Linked DNA regions of Arabidopsis thaliana. The protein of the gene in region 1 purifies or fractionates together with the protein of each later gene. This does not show direct contact. Each region holds a gene or a part of one and is shown in the gene's direction. Other genes may lie near its edges.

Region 1 (3,755 bases):
GACTACGAGAAAACTAGCTGAGGGTAGGATTTGAACCCAAAACTTGGTCATAATCCTTTTTGAGTTCCCAAAATTCACTGATAGTGTTAAGCGGAATCGTTCATTCAAAATATATACTATATGTAGGCTATTTGGGAATATCTTATACACTTTTTTGTAAGAAAATTAGACATATTTATCTATTGTTTTTAAAAAAAAATTGTAAAAAAACGAGATCTAAGTTTATTGTCAAGTTAAACAAATAGAGAATTACGGGACGATAAAAAGAAGGAAACTAAATGATTAGAGACTTTATTTTTATTTTTCTCAATCGACGTGATGACCAATTTGATACAGACTCATAATCTATATGATATACCCAGGTGGAAGACCCATGCGTTGCATGCGTTAGAATTAATATAATAAAATACAACCTGTTGTTTAGCTGTTTCTAATTAATATTGAAATATGTTTAGCTGTTGAAAACATATAGAGGTTACCTTTTATTTTTCTCTAACTTATTCATCTCATCTAGTTTATCCAACTCTTTTTTATTATTCAGCTTATCTTTATTCAACTTATCAGTACTCATTTTATTCAGCTAGTTCAATTTGTTAATCACCATTGGAAACTTTTTAGGTGTTTATTTTTAGAAAATACTCTTCATTAAATCTCAAAAGTTCATAAAGTTTTTGGTGTAAACTACTAATTGGAGATTCGATCTAATGTTTTATAAAGTATTTTATATGGTTTAATAAGATTTTAGAAGGTATTTAAAAATGTTTTACAAGGTATTGTTTTACAAGGTATTTATAAGTTATTTTTATACTGTATTTATAAAATATTTATAAGTTTTTACACACATATAAAAGTAGTTTGTATACTTTAATAAAGTTACACACATATTTGAATAAACCTCATATTCTTAGGAGTACTTTTAATAAACAATTAGAAATATAATATTTTTGAAAAGTGGTATTCGAAAAGATGCTTTTGAAATTCTTCCTTTATTTAGCTTCCAATTCTAAACATTTGAACTAAACTATTTGATATTCAATTTTAAAAGCTTATATGGATTGTCACCTCCAAACATATGCTAGATATTTACTTGAGAATTTTTGATAAACATCTACTTACAAAATTTTAACTAAAATAATATATTGAGAAATTGGAAAATGAAAAAGTAAAATGGTCGAAGAAGAATATCTTTTATGATATGTTAGCCTCAACAACGGGTGATATTTAATAATTAGTTTAAAACTTTAGTCACTTTGTAGTTAATACTTCTGATTTAGGATTAAGGTCCGTTGCACCCACTACTTCTGACAAAACTAAGTGTGCGGACTTAGAAAATAGATTAAACATGGATGGTCTCCTATCTCTTTGTTGTCAACCCAAACCGGCAAACCCTGATATTCTCTTATTACTTTTCATCTATAACATATTGAGTACTAGTACTTGACCAAAACAAACATTTAACTATATAGTACATCTCTTTGGGCTTAAGGAAACCCTTTTGTAAATAAAGCCTAAGCCCAAATTGTAGAACTAGTTATAGTCAATAACACAAAATTGCTTCTAAAAATTTCCCAAATCTCAAGTCTTATTATGTTATTTTCAACAACGATATGCATGAGATCATGATACAATTTGAATCTGCAATAACAAAACTGATACAAATTGGTAAAAACATATTTTATTGTCGAAAATGTTTGAAACATTCAGATCCAAAAGAAAGGCAAGGCGAAATTGATACAACTACAAATCATTCAAATATTCTTATGTCAGAACAACAGTTCCTGGATAAATTTGCTCCCACTTGAAGAAAAGTGTAGTCATCGCTAGAGAAGATGAAGAGATTCGTGATGAAGTGGACTTGGAAAAAGAGTTGAACCATAAGAGTGGAAGACAACTTACAAAGAGTTTGGAGACATCATACCAGGAATCAGTTAGATCATTGGCATAGAACATCGAACAGCCTTCTCGAGTATTAATTTACAGAGATTTTATTGTATTATATAAAATATTCACAAAACTGTAGAAGTTTCAAGAAAATCTAAATCCGACGGTTGAAAAACTCCCTACGTAATCTCTGTTGAACAACAACGGTCCGATCAACATAGTAAAAACGAAAAGTAAATCCAACGGTTAAAAAAACGAAACAAAACAAAAGATCCGACGAGGAAGAGTAGAACCGTTTGCCCTCTCTCTCTCTATCTTCCTTATCTCTCTCCGCCACTCTCCTTCTCTTTCTCCGAACTCTTCGATGGCCGGTCTACTCAAAACGCCGTCTTTACATCTCACACCAACTCTTCTTCATGCTCCTTCTGTACCCTTTAAGCCCTTTTGCGTATCTTTCGCCGGAGGAAGAAACGTTAGCGTCTCACTCTCTCGCCGAGCTTCTCTCCGGTCTGTCTCTAGCGGCTATCCTCTCCGCTTACTAAACCTCGTACCCTTTGCTTCGGGAGAAGCTGAGACGACGGAGACGGAGGTGGAATCGAACGAACCCGAAGTTCAGGTTTTTCGATTTCGGCTCACTTCTGTTCAACTTTCTTGGGGGTTATTTCATTGTTAGTTCGGTGATTAGGGTTTCGAATTTGGGATATGGTAATTTAGAATTGCTTGTTGTTTGCTTAAATTTTTAAGCTTTATTGATTATATTACCCTCTGAAGGAACGTTCACATGAATTAGAGCAATGAATAGGATTGTATTCAGTCTATTCAGGAGTCAAATGGTGAATGCTAATGTTTCTTAGGATATACCAAATCCGATGAATGACAGATTTCATATTCTTGTGGTATGGTGTGTTCCCAAAATGAAGGAGTTTCACTAGTAGTTTAAGACCATGGTGTGTATGTACTATCCAAATCGAATTTTGATTTCGTGATTCTTGTATGGGGGCCACAGAATGTTCTGAAGCTTTTTTGGTGTTAATCTGATTGTTTAGGAGGTCATTAAAAAATTGTGTCGTTAGTGTGTGTTCTGTCTCAGCTTTTATCAGGAATAGATAGGAAACGTCTATGTAAACTGGATTGCTCTTTTTCTGATTTTTTGTTTCACTTCTGAAATCATGGAGCAGGAGACGGATGGTGCTGTTGATGTCGAGAATGAAAATGCCAGTGCTGAGGAGGGTGAAGCTGAGGAAGAAGAAGCAGCTGTTATCACAGCGTTGCTGAAATCCTATAAAGAAGCTTTAGCAGACAACAACGAGGGGAAGATTGCTGAGATAGAAGCATCTTTAAAGTCCATAGAAGATGAAAAATTTCTGCTTGCGGATAAAGTAGCGTCTTTATCCAATGAGTTATCGGTGGAGAGGGATCGGCTTATAAGAATCAGTGCAGATTTCGACAACTTCAGGAAGAGGACTGAGAGGGAAAGGCTAAACCTTGTTTCAAATGCTCAAGGAGAGGTTGTAGAGAATCTTTTGGCTGTTTTGGATAATTTCGAGAGAGCTAAATCCCAAATTAAGGTGGAGACTGAGGGAGAAGAGAAAGTCACTAATAGCTATCAGAGCATATACAAACAGTTTGTAGAAATTCTGGGATCACTTGGTGTTATCCATGTGGAGACAGTCGGCAAGCAGTTTGATCCAATGGTTAGTTACTATGATATCTTTTCTTCTTTCCGGAGATCGACAACTGTATTTTTGTTGCTCAGCTTGCTGGTGGTTTTAATTTTTAACTATGGACGTGATCTTTAAAATCAAAGTTGTTTTGGAAGTTAGGATAATTCGTTGCTATAGGGCTGCCGGAATAATCTTGAGCAGAACGTAGAT
Region 2 (3,755 bases), about 17 Mb from region 1:
CTGTTTCACCAGAATAAAAAGCTCAATCATAAGTAACAAAATACACACAACATATATACAATCAAAAACTAAGTAATCTAACAAATTTGAACATGAAAAGGTTCCATCAATTAACAAACGAAAATCTCAAATCGAAAAGAACACTAAACCCTAATAAAACCTAAATCTACACATAGATCCGTCAAATCAATCGAAGGAGATACACAAACACATTAAGCTTAAAGATAAACATAGAAAGACAGAGAGGGAGAGATCGTACATCGGAGGAGTTACTGATGAGTTCACGGAGGAAGATCTCCTTGTTGGAGTAAAAGGTATTGATGATGAGGGAAAGCAACTGGTTGATCTCAGCTTGGAAAGCAAAGGTCTCTGCGTCCGCCATTATCGTTGATCGGGAAAAAAATCTAAGAATTAGGGTTTATGTGAATCAAAAAGCAAATTCTTAAGAGAAGCAGAGAAGTATTGATGGTTTGATTAAGGGGGAAAAGTGTGTAATATATAGGGGATGTGGAAACAGACGTCATAATATAATGGAAATTGTAAAATATAAAAATTGTCATAATATTTTACTTTCCTTTTTTTTGGAACAAGTGCTACTTACTTTTTTTTTTTTTTTTTTTGTTAAATTTTTCTATTAGCTAAACTAATCAATAAAAACAATGTTTTTCTCCATATACAAAATTCGATTTTGTTATGGATTTGAATTTACAAGTTCCCATTCATTCTAGTTTATCTATGTTTAGATTTTTTTAGATCGGTCCTAGTTTTGGGTTATTTTTTGAAATCGATAAAGTTAATCCCTTAGTTTCAAGATATCTCAAAATTTTATTTCAAATTTTAGTTATGTATTTAATTTATAACAACAAGATAAATAGTTGTGTTAAAAAAAAAAAAAAAGTTTTAATCAATTCTGAAGTTAAAAAAAAAAAATCAATTTTTTCTCCCCACAAACCCCACGCTTTTTAGAGAATATGTGTTTCTTTTTGTTATTGTTTTAATTTATTTATTTTACAACTTTCAATATTATTATTTAATTATTGATTTTTTTGAAACTTTATTAAAAGATACACATACCAATCTGTAAACAGGAAAAAAAAAGTTGTAAGCAAAAAATAAAATTATTGCTTTGTTTTTAAAATAGTAAATTATCATCAATAAAATAAAATAGTAAATTACAAAATTAACAAAAAAGGAAACTAAAACCTGTTACAAAAAAGTAGTAAATTACACCTGTTCTGCAAAATAAAAAGGGAGTAGAATTAAATCTGACTGTTTTTTATAAATAGTAAATTATCATCAACCAATAAAATAAAATAGTAAATTACAAAATTTAACCAAAAAAAAAAAGAAGTAAACTAAAACCTGTTACAAAAAGTAGTAAATTACACCTGTTCTCCAAAATAAAATAAAAGGGAATAAAATTTTAAAAAATTTAATAAAGTTTTGTATTTTTCTACCAAAAAATAGTTTTGTATTTTGTAATTTCCATTTAATTATATTGCAGATTATGTGGACCTGAAAAGCAAATTAACATAAATCAAATAGGAAGGATCTAGAAACCCTTATAGGTTCCCAGTCCCCACACCACTATATATAATAACATCCTTCCCCAAAGTCTCGTATCAATCAACACTTCTCTGCTCTCTAAAGAAAATTTTGCTCTCTTTATCTCTCGATTTGATTCATAAACCCTAGCTCTTAGATTTTTTTTCCGATCAACGAGAATGGCGGACGCAGAAACCTTTGCTTTCCAAGCTGAGATCAACCAGTTGCTCTCCCTCATCATCAATACCTTTTACTCTAACAAGGAGATCTTCCTTCGTGAACTCATCAGTAACTCTTCTGATGTACGATCTCTATCTCTCTACACCTTATTTTATACTTGTCTGTCTCGTTTGATTGATCTGGCTGTTCGATCTGTAGATTTAGGATTGATTAGGGTTTAGTGTTCTAGCCGATTTTAGAATTTTGGTTGGTAATTGAAGTTGCGAAGCTGTTTGTGTTCAAATCTGTTGATTAGTTTTAGTGTTGATACCAACGATTAAGCAGACTCTTGTTAGATTTACAAAGTTTGCTTATATGTAATTTGTATATACGTTCTGTGTATTGGTTGGTTACTTACGATTGTGATTTTACTCTGGTGAAAACAGGCTTTGGACAAGATTAGGTTTGAGTCCTTGACAGACAAGAGCAAGCTCGATGGTCAGCCAGAGCTCTTCATTCACATCATTCCCGACAAGACTAACAACACCTTGACGATTATCGATAGTGGTATTGGGATGACCAAGGCTGGTACGTAATTGATTTCAGTCAAAAGCAATTTGTATTGGTTTTCGTTGATTATTTATGTGTTTGGTGTGTTGGCTAATACGTTTTTGTTTTATTTTTCAGATCTGGTGAACAACCTTGGAACAATTGCAAGATCTGGAACCAAAGAATTCATGGAGGCGTTGGCTGCTGGAGCTGATGTTAGCATGATTGGACAGTTTGGTGTTGGTTTCTACTCTGCTTACTTGGTTGCTGACAAGGTTGTTGTTACTACCAAGCACAATGACGATGAGCAGTACGTGTGGGAGTCTCAGGCCGGTGGATCTTTCACCGTCACCAGAGACACCTCTGGTGAGGCTCTTGGTAGAGGAACTAAGATGGTCCTTTACCTCAAGGAAGACCAGATGGAGTACATTGAGGAGCGAAGGCTTAAGGATTTGGTGAAGAAGCACTCTGAGTTCATCAGCTACCCAATCTCTCTCTGGATTGAGAAGACCATTGAGAAGGAGATCTCTGATGATGAAGAGGAGGAAGAGAAGAAGGATGAGGAAGGCAAGGTTGAGGAAGTTGATGAGGAGAAAGAAAAGGAGGAGAAGAAAAAGAAGAAGATTAAGGAGGTTTCTCATGAGTGGGATTTGGTGAACAAGCAGAAACCGATTTGGATGAGGAAGCCAGAGGAGATCAACAAGGAGGAGTACGCTGCTTTCTACAAGAGTTTGAGCAATGACTGGGAAGAGCATTTGGCTGTGAAGCATTTCTCAGTTGAAGGACAGCTTGAGTTCAAAGCTATCCTCTTTGTTCCCAAGAGAGCTCCTTTTGATCTCTTTGACACTAAGAAGAAGCCCAACAACATCAAGCTCTATGTCCGTCGTGTCTTCATCATGGACAACTGTGAAGACATCATTCCTGAGTACCTTGGGTTTGTCAAGGGTATTGTTGACTCTGAAGATCTTCCTCTCAACATCTCAAGAGAAACATTGCAGCAGAACAAGATCCTCAAGGTCATCCGCAAGAACCTTGTGAAGAAGTGTCTTGAGCTCTTCTTTGAGATTGCTGAGAACAAGGAGGACTACAACAAGTTCTATGAGGCTTTCTCTAAGAACCTGAAGCTCGGTATCCATGAGGACTCCCAAAACAGAACCAAGATTGCTGAGTTGCTCCGTTACCACTCAACCAAGAGCGGTGATGAATTGACCAGTCTCAAGGACTACGTGACAAGGATGAAGGAAGGTCAGAACGATATCTTCTATATCACTGGTGAGAGCAAGAAGGCTGTTGAGAACTCTCCATTCCTTGAGAAGCTCAAGAAGAAGGGTATTGAAGTTCTCTACATGGTTGACGCTATCGATGAGTATGCTATTGGTCAGCTCAAGGAATTCGAAGGAAAGAAGCTTGTCTCTGCAACCAAGGAAGGTCTGAAACTGGATGAGACTGAAGACGAGAAGAAGAAGAAAGAAGAGCTCAAGGAGAAGTTTGAGGGACTCTGC
Region 3 (3,755 bases), about 17 Mb from region 1:
AGTAACCAACCAATACACAGAACGTATATACAAATTACATATAAGCAAACTTTGTAAATCTAACAAGAGTCTGCTTAATCGTTGGTATCAACACTAAAACTAATCAACAGATTTGAACACAAACAGCTTCGCAACTTCAATTACCAACCAAAATTCTAAAATCGGCTAGAACACTAAACCCTAATCAATCCTAAATCTACAGATCGAACAGCCAGATCAATCAAACGAGACAGACAAGTATAAAATAAGGTGTAGAGAGATAGAGATCGTACATCAGAAGAGTTACTGATGAGTTCACGAAGGAAGATCTCCTTGTTAGAGTAAAAGGTATTGATGATGAGGGAGAGCAACTGGTTGATCTCAGCTTGGAAAGCAAAGGTTTCTGCGTCCGCCATTCTCGTTGATCGGAAAAAAAATCTAAGAGCTAGGGTTTATGAATCAAATCGAGAGATAAAGAGAGCAAAATTTTCTTTAGAGAGCAGAGAAGTGTTGATTGATACGAGACTTTGGGGAAGGATGTTATTATATATAGTGGTGTGGGGACTGGGAACCTATAAGGGTTTCTAGATCCTTCCTATTTGATTTATGTTAATTTGCTTTTCAGGTCCACATAATCTGCAATATAATTAAATGGAAATTACAAAATACAAAACTATTTTTTGGTAGAAAAATACAAAACTTTATTAAATTTTTTAAAATTTTATTCCCTTTTATTTTATTTTGGAGAACAGGTGTAATTTACTACTTTTTGTAACAGGTTTTAGTTTACTTCTTTTTTTTTTTGGTTAAATTTTGTAATTTACTATTTTATTTTATTGGTTGATGATAATTTACTATTTATAAAAAACAGTCAGATTTAATTCTACTCCCTTTTTATTTTGCAGAACAGGTGTAATTTACTACTTTTTTGTAACAGGTTTTAGTTTCCTTTTTTGTTAATTTTGTAATTTACTATTTTATTTTATTGATGATAATTTACTATTTTAAAAACAAAGCAATAATTTTATTTTTTGCTTACAACTTTTTTTTTCCTGTTTACAGATTGGTATGTGTATCTTTTAATAAAGTTTCAAAAAAATCAATAATTAAATAATAATATTGAAAGTTGTAAAATAAATAAATTAAAACAATAACAAAAAGAAACACATATTCTCTAAAAAGCGTGGGGTTTGTGGGGAGAAAAAATTGATTTTTTTTTTTTAACTTCAGAATTGATTAAAACTTTTTTTTTTTTTTTAACACAACTATTTATCTTGTTGTTATAAATTAAATACATAACTAAAATTTGAAATAAAATTTTGAGATATCTTGAAACTAAGGGATTAACTTTATCGATTTCAAAAAATAACCCAAAACTAGGACCGATCTAAAAAAATCTAAACATAGATAAACTAGAATGAATGGGAACTTGTAAATTCAAATCCATAACAAAATCGAATTTTGTATATGGAGAAAAACATTGTTTTTATTGATTAGTTTAGCTAATAGAAAAATTTAACAAAAAAAAAAAAAAAAAAAGTAAGTAGCACTTGTTCCAAAAAAAAGGAAAGTAAAATATTATGACAATTTTTATATTTTACAATTTCCATTATATTATGACGTCTGTTTCCACATCCCCTATATATTACACACTTTTCCCCCTTAATCAAACCATCAATACTTCTCTGCTTCTCTTAAGAATTTGCTTTTTGATTCACATAAACCCTAATTCTTAGATTTTTTTCCCGATCAACGATAATGGCGGACGCAGAGACCTTTGCTTTCCAAGCTGAGATCAACCAGTTGCTTTCCCTCATCATCAATACCTTTTACTCCAACAAGGAGATCTTCCTCCGTGAACTCATCAGTAACTCCTCCGATGTACGATCTCTCCCTCTCTGTCTTTCTATGTTTATCTTTAAGCTTAATGTGTTTGTGTATCTCCTTCGATTGATTTGACGGATCTATGTGTAGATTTAGGTTTTATTAGGGTTTAGTGTTCTTTTCGATTTGAGATTTTCGTTTGTTAATTGATGGAACCTTTTCATGTTCAAATTTGTTAGATTACTTAGTTTTTGATTGTATATATGTTGTGTGTATTTTGTTACTTATGATTGAGCTTTTTATTCTGGTGAAACAGGCTTTGGACAAGATTAGGTTCGAGTCCTTGACGGATAAGAGCAAGCTCGATGGTCAGCCTGAGCTTTTCATTCATATCATTCCGGACAAGACTAACAACACCTTGACCATTATCGATAGTGGTATTGGGATGACCAAGGCTGGTACGTAATTGATTTCATTCAAAAGCAAGTTGTACTTGATTTCATTCAAAACCATTATCTATGTGTTTGATTTGTGTTTGCTGATTCGTGTTTGTTCTATTGTACAGATTTGGTGAACAACCTTGGAACAATTGCAAGGTCTGGTACCAAGGAGTTCATGGAGGCATTGGCTGCTGGAGCTGATGTTAGCATGATTGGTCAATTTGGTGTTGGTTTCTACTCTGCTTACTTGGTTGCTGACAAGGTTGTTGTTACTACCAAGCACAACGACGATGAGCAGTATGTGTGGGAGTCTCAGGCCGGTGGATCTTTCACGGTGACCAGAGACACCTCTGGTGAGGCTCTTGGTAGAGGAACAAAGATGATCCTTTACCTCAAGGAAGACCAGATGGAGTACATTGAGGAGCGAAGGCTTAAGGATTTGGTGAAGAAGCACTCTGAGTTCATCAGCTACCCAATCTCTCTCTGGATTGAGAAGACCATTGAGAAGGAGATCTCTGATGATGAAGAGGAGGAAGAGAAGAAGGATGAGGAAGGCAAGGTTGAGGAAATTGATGAGGAGAAAGAAAAGGAGGAGAAGAAAAAGAAGAAGATTAAGGAGGTTACTCATGAGTGGGATTTGGTGAACAAACAGAAGCCTATCTGGATGAGGAAGCCAGAGGAGATCAACAAGGAGGAGTACGCTGCTTTCTACAAGAGTTTGAGCAATGATTGGGAGGAGCATTTGGCTGTGAAGCATTTCTCTGTTGAAGGACAGCTTGAGTTCAAAGCTATCCTCTTTGTTCCCAAGAGAGCTCCTTTCGATCTCTTTGACACTAAGAAGAAGCCCAACAACATCAAGCTCTATGTCCGTCGTGTCTTCATCATGGACAACTGTGAAGACATCATCCCTGATTACCTTGGGTTTGTCAAGGGTATCGTTGACTCTGAAGATCTTCCTCTCAACATCTCAAGAGAAACATTGCAGCAGAACAAGATCCTCAAGGTCATCCGCAAGAACCTTGTGAAGAAGTGTCTTGAGCTCTTCTTTGAGATTGCCGAGAACAAGGAGGACTACAACAAGTTCTATGAGGCTTTCTCTAAAAACCTGAAGCTCGGCATCCACGAGGACTCCCAAAACAGAACCAAGATTGCTGAGTTGCTCCGTTACCACTCAACCAAGAGCGGTGATGAATTGACCAGTCTCAAGGACTACGTGACAAGGATGAAGGAAGGTCAGAACGAGATCTTCTACATCACCGGTGAGAGCAAAAAGGCCGTGGAGAACTCTCCCTTCCTAGAGAAGCTCAAGAAGAAGGGTTACGAAGTCCTCTACATGGTTGACGCTATTGATGAGTATGCTATTGGTCAGCTCAAGGAATTCGAGGGAAAGAAGCTTGTCTCTGCAACCAAGGAAGGTCTGAAGCTGGAAGAGACTGATGACGAGAAGAAGAAGAAAGAAGAGCTCAAGGAGAAGTTTGAGGGACTCTGCAAAGTGATTAAGGACGTTTTGGG

What was found.
Region 2: the proteins of EMB1241 (region 1) and HSP81-3 fractionate together in Arabidopsis thaliana (co-fractionation; one large-scale study listed by BioGRID). This does not show direct contact.
Region 3: the proteins of EMB1241 (region 1) and Hsp81.4 fractionate together in Arabidopsis thaliana (co-fractionation; one large-scale study listed by BioGRID). This does not show direct contact.

What each region holds. Positions count from the first base shown.
Region 1 is NC_003076.8:5,840,130-5,843,884, reverse strand, and holds the start of EMB1241 (Co-chaperone GrpE family protein), read left to right. Parts: upstream 1-2,026; 5' UTR 2,027-2,245; coding exon 2,246-2,497; intron 2,498-3,059; coding exon 3,060-3,575; intron 3,576-3,755.
Region 2 is NC_003076.8:22,679,686-22,683,440, forward strand, and holds the start of HSP81-3 (heat shock protein 81-3), read left to right. Parts: upstream 1-1,552; 5' UTR 1,553-1,724; coding exon 1,725-1,847; intron 1,848-2,150; coding exon 2,151-2,292; intron 2,293-2,391; coding exon 2,392-3,755. Other genes in the region: Hsp81.4 (HEAT SHOCK PROTEIN 81.4), read right to left, coding at 260-382. UniProt on the Arabidopsis thaliana protein: Functions as a holding molecular chaperone (holdase) which stabilizes unfolding protein intermediates and rapidly releases them in an active form once stress has abated.
Region 3 is NC_003076.8:22,678,050-22,681,804, reverse strand, and holds the start of Hsp81.4 (HEAT SHOCK PROTEIN 81.4), read left to right. Parts: upstream 1-1,652; 5' UTR 1,653-1,737; coding exon 1,738-1,860; intron 1,861-2,119; coding exon 2,120-2,261; intron 2,262-2,368; coding exon 2,369-3,755. Other genes in the region: HSP81-3 (heat shock protein 81-3), read right to left, coding at 273-395. UniProt on the Arabidopsis thaliana protein: Molecular chaperone which stabilizes unfolding protein intermediates and functions as a folding molecular chaperone that assists the non-covalent folding of proteins in an ATP-dependent manner.